4 linked regions of the Callithrix jacchus genome follow. The protein of the gene in region 4 purifies or fractionates together with the protein of the main gene of each other region. This does not show direct contact. Links are inferred from orthologs where the notes say so. Each region holds a gene or a part of one and is shown on either strand. Other genes may lie near its edges.

Region 1 (4,706 bases), on a different chromosome or scaffold from region 4:
ATGCAGCTTTAGACACAAAGACGCACACACCTGGGACATATTCACTCTATTATGGCAATTTCCATGCTGATAGAGCCATATACACTTATAGAAACTAACCAATGAACCAGAAGTCACCTTACTAAAAGATGACCACCTTATTACTGCAGACCAAGAGGAGGTCCAGGTTCAAAGCGAGTGCCTGAAGATGCACGCCTGCAGCCCACCATCCCTCCCACACACCTTGAAGTGCTGCACTATCAGGTGCAGAATGTGCACCAGCTGTGGGACAGTGTGCCCCTCCTCCACGATGATCTTCCGGGTCCAGTGGGTTAGCATCTGGTGCCCGTCCTCCATCCTGGCCGGCACTGCCGGGGTCAGAATGGCCATCGCCTGTCTGACGATTGCTCGAGCTTCCATTGCATGAGCCTTGAGGAGACTATGGAAGACCTAAAAGAGGGAAGAGACACTTAATGGAAGAGGAGAAGGAAGGCTTTAAAAAACAGGAAAACACAAACAATCCATTGGGATCAAGGCATGGTATTTTTCCAAAACAATTTTTTAAAACATTTCTTAGGACTTTCTAATTAGGAAACAACTTAGTTGCTTTCTGTTTTGTTTAGTTTTGACCAATGAATACATCCATTCTAGTATTTACAAAGCACCTGCTATGTGCCCGTGCTGAACTAGGCTGGGGCATGCAGACAGATAAGACCCAGCTCTCTGCAGGGATCCTGTGTCCCGTCTAACCAGCAGAGTTAGGGAGGAATATGGCTCATCTCCCTCTAGCTTCGGGTGGGAAATAAAGTGAACAGGGCTAGCAGGAGAGGTGCTGCAAAATGGCAGTTGCAGTCGTTCAAGTGAGGTGAGGTCACAGAACACAGAAAGACAGTCCTGGGGTGGAACAGGGTGGGTGTTAGAAGCTGCAGAACCTCCTGGTGCGTGGGCCCTGGGGAGGAGGAGAGAAGGTCAAAAGTCCCTGGGTGTTTGAAACTGGGGGGGAGCAGTGAAGTCCCGAGGCTGGAGTTCTAGCTCAAGGGGCCATGGGAGGGATGTGAGAGGCTCCTGGCTTGATCGGGGTCCAGAGTTCAACACCACAAAGGTTCACAGGAGAAACACATCAGGGGAAAGCCCATCAAAGATGGTCTCACAGAAGACAGGAGCTATCAGTGATCAAATGCTGAGCACTCGAGTGTAATACTACATTTAATTCTCACACAGAGACATTAACTTGCCCAAGGGCACAGACCGTGTGAGCAGAGGAAAGAACACTCAAACCCGCGGTGCCCAACCTCAGAGCCCAAACCACCAAGCGACACCATGAAGAGACGCTTAATACCAGCTGCACAGCAGCAGGCCCATGAGATACAGATCCAAAAGTACCTACTGTCTTTAGCAAAGAGAACTGGGCTGAGGCCCTTGAATATTTATAATTTGTGCCATGGAATGTCAGGGTCAGAGGCCAGAATGCAATTGCCAGAGAAGCGTGAGATGGAAAAGGTGGCATTTCCTTTAAAAAGCAAAGCCATCGAGGAATGAGAGAGCAGAGTCGGAATGAGGAAGGGAGAGCATGGATAGTCACAGTGTGGGTTATTTTCCCCTCAAATTTCCTGTTATTGTAGTAAAACACACAAAACACAGAATATACCATCATCCCCATTTGTGGGTGCACAGCCCAGTGGCGCCAGGCACCTTCATGGGGGGTGCAGCCACGAGCCCCATCACCTGCAGAACGCATGCTTCTTCCCAGGCTGAAACTCTGCACCCAGTCAGCATGCGTTCCCCACCCCCTCTTCCTGGCCCGGCCCCGCCGCAGTCTCTTTTTGTCTCTCTGAATTTAAGTGCCCTAGGGTCTTCTAAGTGGAATCAATCATATAGTGTCTGTGTTTTCGTGGTTTTTACTGATATCGGGAAAAGACAGCAGGGAGGCTGACACTGCGCCAGGGAGTCAAGCGCACAGCATGGGATCCACATGGAGGACAGGAGGGGAGTTGCAAAATACCTGCAGGACGATCTTCTTGTGGATGGCGAATTTGGCAATAATGTGTGCCAGGAGCAAGTGTCCGCTGTACTTGCAGGCCGGGTCCACACAGGCCTTGGAGAGTAGGCAGGGCCAGGCGAAGGTCATGAGGCGGCGAAGCTTGCTATTGCGGTTCTTGTTATTGTCGTGGATGTGGTGCGGGGCGTGCTCCACCAGCAGGGTGGCGTACTGCAGCAGGTAGATCCGCAGCGAGTCCAGCATGTCTGCCTGCTTCTCGGGGTCCAGGACCTGCACGGGGACAGTGGGAAGGACTCATTTCCAGCTGTGAACTGCGTTACTGACTGAGGGTCATACAACAAGGCTTAAACACAGACACACACAGACACACATACACTCACTGAGGGTCATACAACAGGTTTAAGCCTTAAAAATACACACACACACACACACACACACACACACACACACACAGAGTATGTAACATGAAATATTACAATGAGGTAATCAATAACATCCTATCCATCTTCCTTCATATGTATGTGAAAGGAGGAAAAAAACCTTAGGATCCCAATTTGCTCTGCCCAGTGGAAAAAATTAAGCCGAAAGTTGAGTCATGCAAGAAACTGGCTCTCCTTTTGTTCCTAAGCAGAGCTAAAGATAAAAGGTTAATGATCACCACAGGTATCAGCTCCATGTTCACCATATCTTCCATAAAGTTCTGACTTCCTAAGCGTGAGACGAACACAGAACTGCCTGTTCCCCTACCTGCTCCCCTTCTTTTGCAATGTGTGGATGACCACACCCTCCCTCTTTCTCCTTCAGCCCAATTTTCCCCTTCAAATACTGCAGTCCTCAAAACCATCTTTAAAGTAGGACACAAACCTCTCTCCCAGACACATCCTTAACTTCGGCAAAATAAATTTCTAAAATGATTGAGATCCATCTCAGAGACTTTTTGGTTTACATATCGATTAGAAATTCACCAAATTCATTTCAACATTTAAAAAAGGGGAGGCTTAAGAGTCAGGACACAGGGCTGGAGGAAGGCGAGGTGGAAAGGAAGACTTTGATTCAAGGTGACTTAGGACTGAGTTTCTTAATTTCCAAGTAGTTGAGATTTTTTTTTTCCTGGTCAACTTTTGTCTGTTCCTTATTTTTCTGCTGCATGATTAGAAAATGTGACCTGGAAAAATGTCAACTTCCAAAAAACTGTTACAGTTTTGAAAGCATCTGACAGATAATTTAATTGTTTCATGGACGTAAGAAAAAATGTACCTTCTTTGAGGAATATTCTACACGTCTCTACTAAATCAAGTATAATGGTGGCATCATTCAATTCAACCAAGTATCCTAACCACTGTCTGTCTACCAGGCCTTAATACTACTGAAAACAGAAAGACCGACGTCTTCCATGATAATCATGTTTTCATCAAGGTCCCTTTTAGTCCCGCCCAAGGTCCTCTCTTCCCTGGATGTACTGCTTCTTGGCAGCCCCACACCTGCATCCCCAGACTCCAGTCTGCCAGCTCGTTTTCTCCTCATCCTGACATTCAAAGTCCCCTAGCAGCAGTATGTGACCCAGGAGGCACAACCTGAAGAAGACGACAAAGGAGAAGGGGTCCTTCTGGGCCCCATCTCCCTACACTTGCCCAGAATAAGGCAAATAACAGTAAGGGGACCAAGAACAACCCCCTGGCCTGGCTCTGATCCCAGAGTGGGATGTCAACACTGCAGGAAGGCGGCCTGTCTGAAAGGACAAACACTATTTAAGGTCCGGGAATCTGCCAATGGAAACAACAGTCCCCTCTGCCTTGACCCCAGGACAAAATGGATAAGAAAACCAGCCATCTGTATTTCTAATGAGGAAAATATTCACTAAGCATTCCAACACACACCCAATGCGAGAATCTCAAGGCAAACACTACCTTTAACGGTGAGCATCAATATAGTGAGTATTGGGACAATGACAGAACACAGGCATTTAATTCAAAAAACTCTCTCTAATACAAACTGTAAAGCCATTGTAAAAATGTACAGAGGTGTTAAAACCTGAGCTTGTTTCAGACTAGACTACAGCTGCCACAGGGTTTCATAACTTGGCAAGAAGGAGTTGCAGCAGGAACTGCAGACAGTCTCATAGGCTCACTGGCTATTAGGAGATTCTTTCGCAAAACTGGAGATGAAAACAGAACACAGAAATTCTGCTGACTGGCAACAAGGGTTTTCACAAAATAACTGCTACATGAACTTTCATCAAGATACATTTCGTTTCTGATTAGAATCTATTAATGTGGGAGGTTAATTCATTCCAAAGTAAGGCTGCCTTCAAAAACTCACTACTAAGAATTGTAATGTGATGGTCTGCTATAAATTAACACAATCATGAAAAATAAATGCGTTAAGAAAACAAACAACACACACACAGACATTCGTTCATCTGACCGGTTACTTCTCACGCCCATGCGCGTAGTTATACCACCTTGGTAATAAACACACTGGTGATGCTTTCTGGGTTATCTCCTTCTGGATTGGGAGGTCCCAATAGCTGCTCTCCTTCCCCCTTCTCAAAGCTGTATAAGAAAGCAGGATTCAATATGTGCTGCAGAACCTACAAAAAAAAAAAAAAAAAAAAAAAAATTAAAGTGAAGAAGGAGAAAAACAGAACAGCCAGTCGTGGCCATACCACACCAGTGAGTTAGAACTCAACCAGCCTGTGACTACTAACCTTGATTTCTATGCAAAGAGC
Region 2 (4,706 bases), on a different chromosome or scaffold from region 4:
TTTGGGAGACCAGGGTGGGCTGATCACCTGAGGTCACGAGTTCAAGACCAGCCTGGCCAACATGGCAAAATACTATCTCTACTAAAAATACAAAACTTAGGTGGGCATGGTGGCGTGTGCCTGTAGTCTCAGCTACTTGGTAGTCTGAGGAGGGAGAATCACTAGAACCCATGAGGAGGAGGCTACAGTGAGCCAAGATTGCACCATTGCACTCTAGCCTGGGCAACAGTGTGACCCTGTCTCCAAAAAAAAAAGTACAGAACCAAGAATGTTATGTAAAATGTCATAATTCTTTGTGACACTGAATGTCAGTTGCAGTTATATTAATAATACACTTTGGATATATATGGGTAAAATAAAACAGGCCGGGTACAGTGGCTCACACTATAATCCCAGCACTTTGGGAGGCCAAGACGGGCGGATCACGAGGTCAAGAGATCAAGATCATCCTGGCCAACATGGTGAAATCCCATCTCTACTAAAAAATACAAAAATTAGCTAGGCGTGGTGGCACAGGCCTGTAGTCCCAGCTACTCAGGAGGCTGAGGCAGCAGAATTGCTTGAACCCAAGAGGCAGAGGTTGCAGTGAGCCAAGATTGAGCCACTGCACTCCAGCCTGGCACCTGTCAACAGAGCGAGACTCTGTCTCAAAAAAAAAAAAAAAGAAAAAAATTCCAAAATAATCTCACTGGATTCCACTTGCTTTTTTAAAAAAAATAACCACTAGAAAATTTAAAAGCACATATATATGTGCTTTTATAACCTCTTATTTGCAAGTTGCCTTATATTTCTATTGGACACATTGCTTTAGACCTTCCACTAATTTTTCTCAGCATCCATCTTTATCCTGAGCTGCTAATCTTTAGTCCGCCCATGAAATCCTAAATGAATAACATTCTTTTTTTTTTTTTTCAGATGGAGTTTCGCTCTTATTTCCCAGAGTGGAGTGCAGTGGCACGATCTTGCAACCTCTGCCTTCTGGGTTCAAGTGATTTTCCTGCCTCAGCCTCCCAAGCAGCTGGGATCATAGACATGTGCCAACACACCCAGCTAATTTTGTATTTTTAGTAGAGATGGGGTTTCACCATGTTAGTCAGACAGGTCTCAAACTCTTGACTTCAGGAGATCCACCTGCCTTGGCCTCCCAAAGTGCTGAGATTACAGGTGTGAGCCACTGTGCTCAGCCCTAAATGAATAACATTCTAGGGCCATGTTCTCTGGTTCTCTTTTCTTAAAAGCAAGAAAGTAGAATAGGACAAAGTCTAGACGCGAGCTCTTTCTGTCAATTTAGAGTCTGGTTTATTCCTGCCAGACTGCGACACCAACTGCAATACCAATAAAACACAGACACAGTTCCCGGAAAGGAAGGCACCTATGCCAAAGACAATGGGGAAGGTAAATTAGAACAAAAACAAAACAAAAAGACACTCCAACACATGCCAAACCCTACAGGAATAGCTACTGAAATTTATTCATAAATCTACATGGTTTCCCTTATCGAATTTCTTTAGTCCTTGTCTTCCTTGAGGGACAAGGTCATAAGAAATCTTTCTGAAATGTACGCTGCCTAAATCACCTTTCTAATCCACATTAACCATACCCTTTCCAGTAGTTCAGTGTCACTAATTGTGTGTACATGTTTGTGTGTGTGTGTAAATTTAACAATGAACACCGAGATTTATTTTCAAATATCCCTTCATTTGCTAGAGACTACACTTGAGTTACATATTGAACTTGTACAGTATCCTGATACCTTGCCACAAAGTCCAACAAAGCCTTGGTACAACCCTACTTGTTGGTAGGTGAAACCATTTATTCTCCTCACACATATACACAAACACTCAGAGTGAGACAGAGGTCCCCAACCCCTAGACCATTACCAGTCCATGGCCTGTTAGGGAACAGGCCACACAGCAAGAGGTGAACAGCAGGCAAGTGAGCATTACTGCCTGGGCTCTGCCTCCTGTCAGACCAGTGGTGGCACTAGACTCTCCTTGGAGCATGAACCCTATTATGAACTGCACATGCTAGGGATCTGGGTTGCATGGTCCTTATGAGAATCTAACTAATGCCTGATAATCGGAGGTGAAGAAGTTTCATCCCAAAACAGCCTGTGGAAAAACTGTCTTCTGCGAAACCAGTCCCTGGTACCGAAAAGGCTGGAGATGGCTGGAGTGAGAGGACTATTCCCAGAAAGTCCTTAACTCCACTTTCAACCTTCTCTGGACATGGCACAGAAAGATCTTCCCAAGCCCTGCAGCCTTAGTAAGAAGCCCCACATCCTGCTTTTCTTCTAAGACCTTGGGTTACCCTTACCTTGACTTGCTCATTTGAGGTTACAGCACAGAAGACAATCTCTGTGAATCCTTGAGATGGAAACATACGGAAACAGATACCACCAATGACACGGCCATCTTTAATTAAAGCAAGGGTTTTGTGTTTCCTGAAAGAATAAGATTATGTCAAAGTTTTACCTATCCTAGTTATATAAATATACTTTTTGGGGTATTCCTTATTAACCAACTAAGAAAGAGCTATATGTCCTAAGTTTCTATAAAAATTTCCTTCATGTAGACCCTATCTTGCTAGACCATTCTTTTATCTGAACTTTTTAAAGCAAGCTTGCCTGCACAAGATGTCATCGGTACTCCCATCAGAACAAAATATCAGTCACCTAAGAAGTGCCTGGGGTTTACAAATAGAGAACAGAGTATGTGCAGATGTGCTCTGGAACTGGCACATCCAGTGCCAAGGAGGGGTCAGGGAGCAGGAAGTCATGGACAAACATGGTATGTGTCTCTGCAGAGTTAAGTCTTACTCCAATATATCACAGAAACATTATGAAAAAAGTTAAAAATCTACATATACAATCTGCAAAACTCTGCAGTATGGAATCCTTCCCTCTGTCTAAAGCATTACTCTGAATTGTCACAGGCATAGATAACAGTCCCCATAGGCTACTGGGCTATATATGTTCAAATAAATTCAATTAATGACATTTAGTTCTTTGGGGTTTTGTGGATTTTTCTTTTTTAAGCAATGGATTTTCAAAGTTAACCTGTCTTATATCCCAATAATTGCCCACAGACCTGGGCAATAATGGTACCTAGTTAAGATACCAAAACCAATATTTTGACTATGAAAAAAAGTAGAACATCTTAGTGTTTACGACCTCTCACTGCTATAAAGAATGAAGCACAGGACAGTCATCAGCGATGGAATATAACGCTTATTATTAACAAGAAAATTTATAAATTGCTGAAAATTAATCTTAGCACTTTCAGACATAAAAATTAGCCTGGTGTAGTTCTGTATCCACAGCGAGACAGGAGCAGCAGTATTCGGTGGATGACTATGGCTGACTTTCACTATCTAAGCAGTTCCTCTTTCATTTAAAAAGGAAATGAGGAAGAAGGCACAGAAAGTACCACTTACGGGTCAAAGACAAGCCGTGTGATGTATTCTTTTGGCATTCGGGGCAGCTGGTGGGAGAAAACGTTCTGAAGTCCGACCAGCCACATCAGGATCTTCTTGTTTGGTTTCTGGTTGAGGGAATTGCCAACTACGTGGAATTCAATTACACCCCTGCGTTCTTCCAACCTGGCCGCCTCATCCCTGGCTGAATGTGCTGACAGAAAATTGGTCTGAGATGCAAGAGACAGGAAAAAATTACACAGAGGATTCTCTCAAGACCGTGGGGATGGGACACATCCAAGCTTCTCTTCTTTGTTCTAATAAGATACACATTTGTGGATTCTCAGAGTCCTACATACACACGTGTGCACACACATATACACAGAGACACATACACGTACAAGTTATAAAGACAAGATAGAAAAGGCAGGTAAAGCATTTTGAGAAACTGGAGTATGACATGTGTACATGGATGACATTCAGTATAGATTAGGGGCCAGCAAACTTTGCTGTGAAGGGCCAGAGAGAAAATATTTTAGACGTTGTGAGCCACAAGGTCTTTGCCACAACTACTCCTTCTGCTGCTACAATGCAAAGGCATCCACAGACAACATGCTAAAGAATGGGTGTAGTACTGTTCTGATAAAACATTATTTTAAAAAACAGTAAGCAGGCAAAGTGTGGCCCGTGGGTTAAAGTTTGCCAACCTCTGGCTTAAAGGAATCCTCTCCAGCTGTGCTTGAAGGACCTTTGGGATGAGAGATCCAAATTCTCATTACAGGCCCAATAGTAGCTCTCATGTATATATTATTTTTTATTTATTGATTTTTTTTTTGAGGCGGAGTTTCGCTCTTGTTTACCCAGGCTGGAGTGCAATGGCACGATCTTGGCTCACCGCAACCTCCGCCTCCTGGGTTGAGGCAATTCTCCTGCCTCAGCCTGCTGAGTAGCTGGGATTACAGGCATGCACCACCATGTCCAGCTAATTTTTGTATTTTTAGTAGAGACGGGGTTTCACCATGTTGACCAGGATGGTCTCCATCTCTTGACCTTGTGATCCACCTGCCTCGGCCTCCCCAAGTGCTAGGATTATAGGCGTGAGCCACTGCGCCCAGCCTCATATATATATTCTTTACACCTCTTTTTAAAGAACAGTTTTCTTTCCAGAGAATATCTACTAACCTACACTCAACCATGGCTAGAAGCACAGCCATGTGCCAGCACTTTGTACTCCCCCTCTTATTTAATCTACCCAGTGGTTTGCAAGTAAATGCTCCACAAACAGCTCTTAA
Region 3 (4,706 bases), on a different chromosome or scaffold from region 4:
TCAATAAGTTATTTAAGCAAAGTAAGATAATAAGTGTTAATGAAAAAGTGAAGAAACTAAAATATTTATTATACTGCTTGTGTAAAATGGTACAGTACTTTGGAAAACAGTCAGTTCCCTAAATGGTTAAAACACAGCGTATGACCCAGCAATCCATTTCTAGATAGGAATGAAATGAAAATGAAAACACATGTCTACACAAAAACCCAAACACAAAGGCTAATAGCAGTATTATGCATATAGTCAAAAGTAGAAACAACTAAAACATACATTAGCTAATAAATGGATAAAAATACTTTCATGTAACTATACAATAGAATATTATGTTCTAAAATTGTGAGTATTGCACATGTCTGTGAATATACTAAGACCCATTTCACTGCATTTTAAATAGATGAATTATATAGCATATAAACTGTATCTCAATAAAGTGATTAAAAAATGTTCTCGGTAATGAACTGCCTTTGCAGTTCCAAATGGCAAACTCACTTTTGCCATCACATAAATGGCACACATTAATAACTGGTCCAGATGTCGGTCCATCATAAGTTCAGGACACTGAATTATGGAGAATTCAAAGCAGGTCCAGATTTTTTTCCTCAGTTCATCTGAAATATCTAGTTTGGCACAGAGATCCCGAAGGCGTACACCTGCTAAATGGTATACCTAGGAGAGAAACAAAAACATTTCAAACTTTAACACTTATATTTCCCAAGCTCATGCTTCTGGTAAGGTTACGTGAAAAATTACCTTTCTAAAGAAAAGCGATAATGAGCTGGTTTTCCTGGGTCTATTACTGCTGCTGCTTACGGACTGGCCTTGCTTCTGCTGTTGGCCACCTGGGGAAATCTGTTGAATGGCCACTTGACCAGGGACTTGTAAAGTTGTTCCTGTCACTTGTTGAGAGCTCAGACTTCCAGCCAGGGCCTGAGCACTGAGGGGCTGGATGGAGCCTGTCACAGCTTGTGCCTGCCCCCCAACATTGACTTGGACTGGGTAGAATGTTATCCCTCCATTTTCATTGGCAATACCTAGTTTGTGACAGAAAAAAAGCTTGAAGAAAATGTTAATAAGGGGTTCTCCAGGCAAAGGTTTACAATTTCCCCTCTCTTAACCCCGCCCCCCATCACTCCTCTGTCCCCTGCGTCACTCTAGCCAAACCTTGGGTAACTTTTCAATACATGCCACAGAGAAGGAACTCAATATCCAGCTCTGCCTTCCTTACCTTGCACAGGAATGGTTACTGTTTGCCCATTGTTGGCAGTGACAGTGGCAGTCGCCATGGTGACCAAAGTTTGTCCAGGAACTGGTGTGACAGAAACAGGCTCCCCAGATACATTCTGCACAGGGACAGCATTGACTATTGGCTGTTGGGGCATGCGCCCAGGTGTCCCTCCATCAGAAGGGCTATCATTCTCAACAAATAGCCGCCTTCTGGTAGTGCTGGCTGGTGGTGAGCTGTACCTATCATATAATGTGGTTGGAGATGTTACACCTAGGGTCAAAACAAATCAAAGTATTTAACTCAAGGAGACTCAGATCTGACTTCCATCCAAGTTGTCAGGTTCAAAAATTACTACAGTGTTTGAAATTATGTTTTCATAAATCAAAAAGCAAACAAGAATTACAGAAGTCATATCTTACCTCCATTCCACTAATGAAAATTAGTGAATTTTCAAGAGCAAAATTTTAAAATGGAATTTTTTGTCTTGTAGTGTTCCTTTCTCCAATCCCCCTTTCCCTAATCAGACTCGACTCTGTCTTCCACTACTACAGAACCTTCATGATTTAGGGGCAATTTAAGGCATTCATTACCCTATTTCTCTGTATGACATTTTTCTGTAATAGATATGACTTTACTACAGAGCCACTACTTGACACGATTGGTAGTATGTCATCTAGGAGCATTCCCCCACCAGTTTTACCAATTTTTATCTTTGTCTTTTTCCACATATAAAATATTATTAAAACTCAATATACTTAAGGTGGACATGCATGACTTATGACTTGGATTCAATTAGGCATAGTTTATTTTTTAATCAGTTTTTTATAAACAAGGTGGACGTGCATGATTTGGATTCAATTAAGCATAGTTTATTTTTTTAAACAGTTTATATATCATAAATTTTATCCACTTAAATTGTACAATTCAATGGTTTGAGGTAAATCATTTTTATTTTTATTTTTTGAGACATAGAGTCTTACTCTGTCGCCCAGGCTAGAGTGTAGTGGTATGACCTCGGCTCACTACAACCTCTGCCTCCTGGGTTCAAGTGATTCATGTGCCTCGGCCTCCTGAATGACTGAGATTACAGGTGTATGCCACCATGCATGGCTAACTTTTTTTTGAGACAGAGTTTCGCTCTTGTTACCCAGGCTGGAGTGCAATGGCGCGATCTTGGCTCACCGTAACCTCCGCCTCCTGGGTTCAGGTAATTCTCCTGCCTCAGCCTCCTGGAGAGTAGCTGGGATTACAGGCACGAGCCACTATGCCCAGCTAATTTTTTGTATTTTTAGTAGAGACGGGGTTTCACCACGTTGACCAGGATGGTCTCAATCTCTTGAACTCGTGATCCACCCGCCTCGGCCTCCCAAAGTGCTGGGATTACAGGCTTGAGCCACCGCGCCCGGCCTAACTTTTGTATTTTTAGTAGAGATGGGGTTTCACCATGTTGGCCAGGCTGGTCTCAAACTCCTGACCTCAGGTGATCTGCCCACCTTGGCCTCCCAAAGTGCTGGTATTACAGGCTAGTTTTTTAACACTGTGGTAAAATATATATATATAATTTACCATTTTAACCAATTTTTATGTGTACGATTCAGTGGTATCAATCACATTTACAATATGGCAGAACAGTCACCACTATTTGTAAAACTTCATTACCTGAACAGCCCATTATGGCTTAGTCTGTTTTTAAGTATTCACACCAATGTCTGAATTTTTGAGAAGCATTCCTTCCTTCTTCTGTGTCCACCTCTAAAAGCTGTGTATCAGTTGTTTTTAAATTTTAAAATATATGTAGGAAGTTCGTAAGAGGTATTGATAGGAGTAAATCCTAATAAACTGCAGCTTAACATTTCTATTTCCAGATGACACAAAAGTAAGTCAAGTTACTAGATTTGTATTTGGTACAAAGCTGCAGAATCAGAAAGAATACATTATCATTTTTGTATAAAATATCAAGAGATCTCAGGAAAACTGAGAAGTGATAAGTGCAAAGAAAATGAAGTTTAAAGTTAAGTCCTCTTAATCTGTAAATAAGGGAAGGGAAAATTCTACAAAAATAGACTGAGAAAGACCAGCTGTCAGATCTTTCAAAAATGAGGACTTTTCATATGGATCATCCATGTGTATTAAGTATACACTGACTTAGAGTGATTTTTTTTTGTACAGATAGCATCTTGATATGTTGCCCAGAATGGTCTTGAACTCGTGGGTTCAAGCGATCCTCCCTACTAGGTCTCCCACAGTGCTCGGGTTACAGGCATGAGCTACCATGCCCATCCTAGAGTGATTCCTGACTTTATTTATTTAGAGACAGAGTCTCACTCTGTCGCCCAGGCTCAAGCGCAGTGGCCTGATTCAAGCTCACCACAACCTCCACCTCCGAGGTTCAAGCTATTCTCCTGCCTCAGCCTCCCAAGTAGCTGGGATTACACATGCCCGCCACCATGCCTGGCTAATTTTTTTTTTTATTTTTAGTAGAGACGAGGTTTCACCTTGTCGGCCAAGCTGGTCTCAAACTCCTGACTTCAGGTGATCCACCTGCCTTGGCCTCTCAAAGTGCTGGGATTACAGGCATAAGCCACGGCACCTGGCCGATTCCTGACATTAAAACTGGTATTTCTTCTACAGCCAGCTCTTATCAATTACATTATAAAACTGATCTAGAAATAAGAATATTCTTTTAATTGCATCCAAGGATTTAGAACTCTCTGGATTTACTGAATTGCTCTTTAAAAGGTAGTTCTATTTAAACTTCAACCTTTCATATTGCAGATCTTCCAAGCAGCTGCCTAAAAAGTATAAACCAGATGCACAGCAAAACTGCCCTTTTCTGTATTTCTTGGACCAGCACTAGTGTCACATTAACTAGGGTAGCACATCTCAACAGACCAAGTGGAACATACTCAGTAGTCTTAACTCACGGGTTTGTCTGTACCTAACTGGATCATGTAGCTCTGTCTTTAAGAAGGCATTTCTATTTCTCCTGTAATATGTATTTGCCGTAAAAATTTTACAGAATCACCAGGAATTCTATCAACCAACAATAATCTTAACAGTTTGGTTTTTCCATTTCCACCATTTTGTATGCTCATCGATAAACATACGCTTTAAAAAATACATACACAGCAGTCGGCTGGCTATGGTGACTCCTAGCACTTTGGGAGGCCAAGGCAGGCAGATCACCTGAGGTGAGGAGGTTGAGGCCAGTCTGGCCAACACGGCAAAACCCCTTCTCTACTAAATATATAAAAATTAGCCAGGCGTGCTGGCATGTGCCTGTAGTCCCAGCTACTTGGGAGGCTGAGGCACGAGAATCACTTGAACCCGGCAGGTGGAGGTTGCAGTGAGTGAGACTGCGCTACTACACTCCAGCCTGGGCCACAGAGTGAGACCCTGCTTGAAAAAATTTTAAAAATTAAAATTAAATAAATAAATAAATATAGCAGTCTATCCTTTTTAAAAGATGCCTGTTAAGATT
Region 4 (4,706 bases):
CATGCACACACATGTGGACACACTGGGGCGTGTCTGCAGTGCACACACAGAGGTGTATATTCACCTTCATTCCCCGGTACATGCACACACACATGCTCACACACCACATTCACCCCAGGTACACACGTGTGGGTGTAGGCTGCATGCACATACACACCACAAACAGACTCCTTCCCTTCCTGGCTTGCTCAGCCTCCTAGCGGTAGCCAGACCCCAGAGCTAGAAGCTACTGGAGACAGGAGAGAGGGGTATAAATTAAATGTTTCCGATCAGGCTGGGAGGATGGCCAGGGACAGGAGGCTCCAGGGCTGCAGAGACAGTGAGCATCTCTGGAAACGCTGGTCCCTCCAAGCCCCATCAGAAATCGAGGGGGGTGAAGTCCCCAAAGTCACAGTCGAAGAGGTCTCTGATGCCCTCGCCCTCCTCGAGGCCGAAGTGGTAGTCGAGGCCCTCATGGGGTGGGGAAAGGCTGATGAACTCCTCAGGGAGGAGGCCGGAGAAGTCCTCCCGCACATGCTCCAGGAGCGAGTCGGCTGCCACCAGCGGGGACAGGCGGTCCTCGTCCATGGGAGCCCGTAGGCTGCCCATCCGGGACAACAGTGGTTCTGGGGAGACGGGGAGCATCACAGGCCGGGGATGCCCCAGCAGGGAGGAAGACAGGGGCTGTCGTGCCTGCCCGCCCCCCAGAAGAGTGGCCCTTTCCCACCCCACCCACCTACCCATCACCCACCTTGCTCCAGGCTGAGCAGAGACTGGCTGGGATCTGTGGCGAAGGATGAGTGGGGAGATGATGATGGTGGCGGCACTATGGTGGCAGAGTCAGAGGCCCTGTTCTCCTCCACAGAAGCAGCCTCCCGGGACGGGGACGGGGTCTTCCCAGGGCTGATCCCACCCACAGTCTCCTCAGGGCACAGGAAAACATCGATGGGGCCTTGTTTGCTCTTAAGAGAGATCTGAAATGTCTGGGTGGAAGCAGCAGGCAGGGTAAACTGAGGCCCAGGTGACCCCAAGCCCAGCCCAGCCCAGCCCAGTTGGGCCTAGAGTTTCCAGATCTCACCTCCGAAGAGTCCACAGCTTGGAGCTGGGTCTCAGGAGGAGCCTTGATCACCATAACCATCTGCTCTGCAGGGTCTGCAATGCTACGAAGATCCTGGCACGTCACATAGGCCAGGGTTGGCAGAGTCAAGGACCACAGGAACTTTGACTTCTGAGGGTCACTCACTCCAGCAACTCACAAAGGACCTTCACAAGGCAGGGCTCACACCTCCCTAGTCACTCCTGTCTTCTCAACCCCCCCATCTGCTCAAAAGCCACCTCATTCCCAAGTTTCAAGTTCCACATCTGTACAATGGAACTATTCTACCAACTGAATCCCAAAGTAATGATGATGGCTACCAGGAACAATTCCATGTAAAATGCTCAACACAACTGCAGGCCTGCTGCTGGGAACTTATTATTTAGTTTTTAGAAGCAGGTTCTCACTATGTCACCCAGGCTGGAGTGCTGTAGCTCAACCAGAGCTCACTGCAGCCTCAAACTCCTGGGCTCAAGTGATCCTCCCACCTCAGCCTCCTGAAGCACTAGGATTACAGGCAGGAGCCACCCCAGCCACTTTTCTGCTTTAATCTGTACAATTTCAGAATTGGATATTATTATCCCCCTTTTATAGCTAAAACTGAGGCCCAGAGAGGTTAAGCAATTTATCCAGTGTCACACAATGAGAAAATGCTGAGCCAGAACTTGCAACCAAAACCAGCATCCTCTCCGGAATCCAGGGCCCAGGGTAGCCTCTCTAGTCCCACTTGGGTGGGACCCCTGCGCACTAAGCCTGCCTTCCACACCCCCGGCCAGTCCAAGGATATCGCTGGCTGTCAGTGTCCTCGGAGAGCAGGCGCAGCTGCGTAGTACAGATATTCATCAGGTGGTCCAGCTGCTGCTCACTCTCCTGCAGCTGCCGGAGGTCCTGGGTCAGCCCCTCAAGCCGCCCACCAACACCCACTGTGGTGTGGCTGCCCCTGTGGGGAGGCACCAGGGAGGGTAGGGTTAGCATCGTCTGGCCCCTCTGGCGCTCAGGACCCCATCTGCTGCTGCCTCTGTTCTGCGAGGCCCAGGCAAGCCCTTGCTTCTCTCTGGGTCTGGCTCCTCAGCTGGGATCCAAATCAGTGTGTCATGGGCTTGAAGTCTGGCCCGAATATTTATAAACACCTACATGTCCCTCAACCAGGGCAGGATAAATAAATGATGGCATCGACATGTCATGAAACATTACAGTTGTATAAAAGGATGAGCATGCTCTAGACACATACATACAAGCATTTCCAAGTCATGCTGTCAAATTAAAAAAAAAAAAAAAATGGGCTGGGCTTGGTGGCTCACACATAATCCCAGCACTTTGGGAAGCTGAGGTCAGAGGATGTACTGCTTGAGCCTCAGGAGTTTAAACCAGCCTGGGCAATACTGTGAGACCCCACCTCTACACAAAATTAAAGAAATTAGCCAGGCATGGTGGCATGTACTTGTAGTCCTAGCTACAGGTACAAGGATTGAGCCCAGGAGGTTGAGGCTGCAGTGAGCTCTACTTGTGCCTCCAGACTCCAGTCTGGGTGACAGAGCAATACCCTGTCTCAAACTGCCCCCCACCCCCTCAAAAAAACATAAAAGATGTAGAATGGAACAATCTACCAAAAAATGAAAAGGCAGGTGTATCAAAGAGAGGGTAGCAGGATGACTAGGGCAAAGGCAAGAAGGGGAAAATAAAACAAGTACAAAAAGAAAACATCCGTGCCAGACAAATCTTACCGAGGGCATAAGACACCAGAAGAGTGGTCACCTGGTGGTGTGAGGGGTTGGCAGTGACTGGAAAGGGGCACAAGAGAACCTTCTGGGGTGTTGGAAATGCTTCTATCTTGATCTGAATGGTGGTAACCCAGATGAATAAATATGTAAAGCTCTGCTGGGCACAGTGGCTCACGCCTATAATCCCAGCACTCTGGGAGGCCAAGGCAGGCAGATTACCTCAGATCTGGAGTTTGAGACCAGCCTGGCCAACATGGTGAAACCCTGTCTCTACTAAAAATACAAAAATTAGCCGGGCGTAGTGGTAAGTGCCTATAACCCCAGCTACTTGGGAGGCTGAGGCAGAAGAATCACTTGAACCTGGGAAGTGGTGGTTGCAGTGAGCTGAGATGACGCCACTGCACTCCAGCCTGGGCGACAGAGTGAAACTCCATCTTAAAAAATTAAATAAATAAATAAAGCTGTAACTGAGCTGGATATGTAAGATTTGTGTGCTTTTTAGCATCTATCATCTCAGGGAAGCTACCTCTCTTCCCTGAGCCCGTTTCCCCAGCTGTAACATGTGGATGCAGACAGCCCACAGTGGGTACTGCTACAGTTCCTCCAGGCTGGCATGGGCAGGTGTGCCTGCCCTCCTGTGTGGCCGGTACCTACAGCCACTGGATGTGGTTCTTGGACTTCTTGGCAATGAGCTGGATGCCCTCGAGGACATTGGTGATGTCATAGATGCGCCGCTTCTGCACTTTGAGCACCTCGGCAGCCCAGTTCAGGTCGACAACACCGTCAGCAGAGCGGCTCAGCAGCTCCAGGAAGCGCTTGGTGGTCAGATTCAGTGAGGTCTCATAGCGTGACTTCTCCCCCGGGGATTTCACACCTGTAAGGGTGTGGTCAAGCAAGTAGGGCCCTCCAGCATCCACCCCACCTCCAGCCAGGCCTGCCTCTGTGGCAGTGCAGGACAGCAGGATGATGGGGGCCGGGGGACAGCCAGCCCCTTCCCCTTGGTGAGGTCAACCACAGCATTCTTATTCTGACTGGGGAACTCCTCAACCCTCAGGGCTGGGGTAAACCAAGCCAGGCAGCGACTCCAGCTGCCCATCAGGGTCCCCAGAGGCCTGGCTCAAGCCCAATGAACCAAGACGTTAGCCTGAAAGCATGTTTGTTTGTTCACACCCCCAACCCGGGCCTGGTCACAGGGGGCCTGCCCAGCCCAAGCTCCGTGGGTACCTTTTCCTTGATGGCGGCCTCTGCCCCGAGCTGGCCCACTGCTTTCAGCCAGGTACTGATGGTCAGTTTCCAGGTCCAGCCTCCGCTTCACCTGTAGTGAAAACAATGGGAGGATGCCCAGTAACCAGGAGTGATGCCAGAAGAGACCTGGCTGAGGGCTAGGCACCTCTGGGTTACCCCCACCTCAGTTTCTGTAGCAGGATGCCTGACTGTGTGACTGAGGGAGATCAGAGGGGACACAGCCTGAGAGTCATAGTCCTTCCACACAGGACACTCAACCGCAGAAGGCAGAAGACCTGAGCTCAAGTCCCAGCTCCATCACTACTTCTCTGGGGTCTCGTGGTGGATTTAAAACACATCTGCAAACTTTTTGATCCTTCTCCTTCAAAAGATGAAGCCTAATAATCCTCCCTGTATGAACCAGAGATGGAGTGTCACTTTTGAGACTGAGTCAGAGGAACTGGAGCTTCCTCCTTGCTCTGTATTGGGTCACTCACTCTGCCATGTCATATGGACACTCAAGTAGCCCTAATGATGGGCAAGAAACCGCAGCTCCTCCCAACAGCAACACTGAGTCATGCCTTCTGTTAGCAGCCAGGACCCAAACACTGGCTGAATCTCCAAAGAGACCCCAAGCCAGAGCATCTAGCTAAGTCTTCCCTTAATTCCTGACCCACAAAAACTAT

What was found. The genes of interacting proteins can lie anywhere in the genome.
Region 1: the proteins of E2F1 (region 4) and TRRAP purify together in Homo sapiens (affinity purification with western blotting; 3 studies listed by BioGRID and IntAct, with this or other methods). This does not show direct contact. The link is inferred for Callithrix jacchus from reciprocal best matches to the Homo sapiens genes E2F1 and TRRAP.
Region 2: the proteins of E2F1 (region 4) and KAT2B purify together in Homo sapiens (affinity purification with western blotting; 5 studies listed by BioGRID and IntAct, with this or other methods). This does not show direct contact. The link is inferred for Callithrix jacchus from reciprocal best matches to the Homo sapiens genes E2F1 and KAT2B.
Region 3: the proteins of E2F1 (region 4) and RBL2 purify together in Homo sapiens (affinity purification with western blotting; 3 studies listed by BioGRID and IntAct, with this or other methods). This does not show direct contact. The link is inferred for Callithrix jacchus from reciprocal best matches to the Homo sapiens genes E2F1 and RBL2.

The regions. Positions count from the first base shown.
Region 1 is NC_133503.1:14,643,099-14,647,804, forward strand, and holds part of TRRAP (transformation/transcription domain-associated protein), read right to left. Parts: intron 4,569-4,706; coding exon 4,440-4,568; intron 2,249-4,439; coding exon 1,982-2,248; intron 430-1,981; coding exon 223-429; intron 1-222. UniProt on the Homo sapiens protein: Adapter protein, which is found in various multiprotein chromatin complexes with histone acetyltransferase activity (HAT), which gives a specific tag for epigenetic transcription activation.
Region 2 is NC_133518.1:58,632,544-58,637,249, reverse strand, and holds part of KAT2B (histone acetyltransferase KAT2B), read right to left. Parts: intron 3,645-4,706; coding exon 3,436-3,644; intron 2,444-3,435; coding exon 2,317-2,443; intron 1-2,316. UniProt on the Homo sapiens protein: Functions as a histone acetyltransferase (HAT) to promote transcriptional activation. Has significant histone acetyltransferase activity with core histones (H3 and H4), and also with nucleosome core particles.
Region 3 is NC_133521.1:11,390,348-11,395,053, reverse strand, and holds part of RBL2 (retinoblastoma-like protein 2), read right to left. Parts: intron 1,496-4,706; coding exon 1,226-1,495; intron 1,032-1,225; coding exon 751-1,031; intron 667-750; coding exon 490-666; intron 1-489. UniProt on the Homo sapiens protein: Key regulator of entry into cell division. Directly involved in heterochromatin formation by maintaining overall chromatin structure and, in particular, that of constitutive heterochromatin by stabilizing histone methylation.
Region 4 is NC_133506.1:5,619,560-5,624,265, reverse strand, and holds part of E2F1 (transcription factor E2F1), read right to left. Parts: intron 4,112-4,706; coding exon 4,021-4,111; intron 3,671-4,020; coding exon 3,451-3,670; intron 2,016-3,450; coding exon 1,863-2,015; intron 1,173-1,862; coding exon 1,058-1,172; intron 963-1,057; coding exon 731-962; intron 606-730; coding exon 358-605; 3' UTR 1-357. UniProt on the Homo sapiens protein: Transcription activator that binds DNA cooperatively with DP proteins through the E2 recognition site, 5'-TTTC[CG]CGC-3' found in the promoter region of a number of genes whose products are involved in cell cycle regulation or in DNA replication.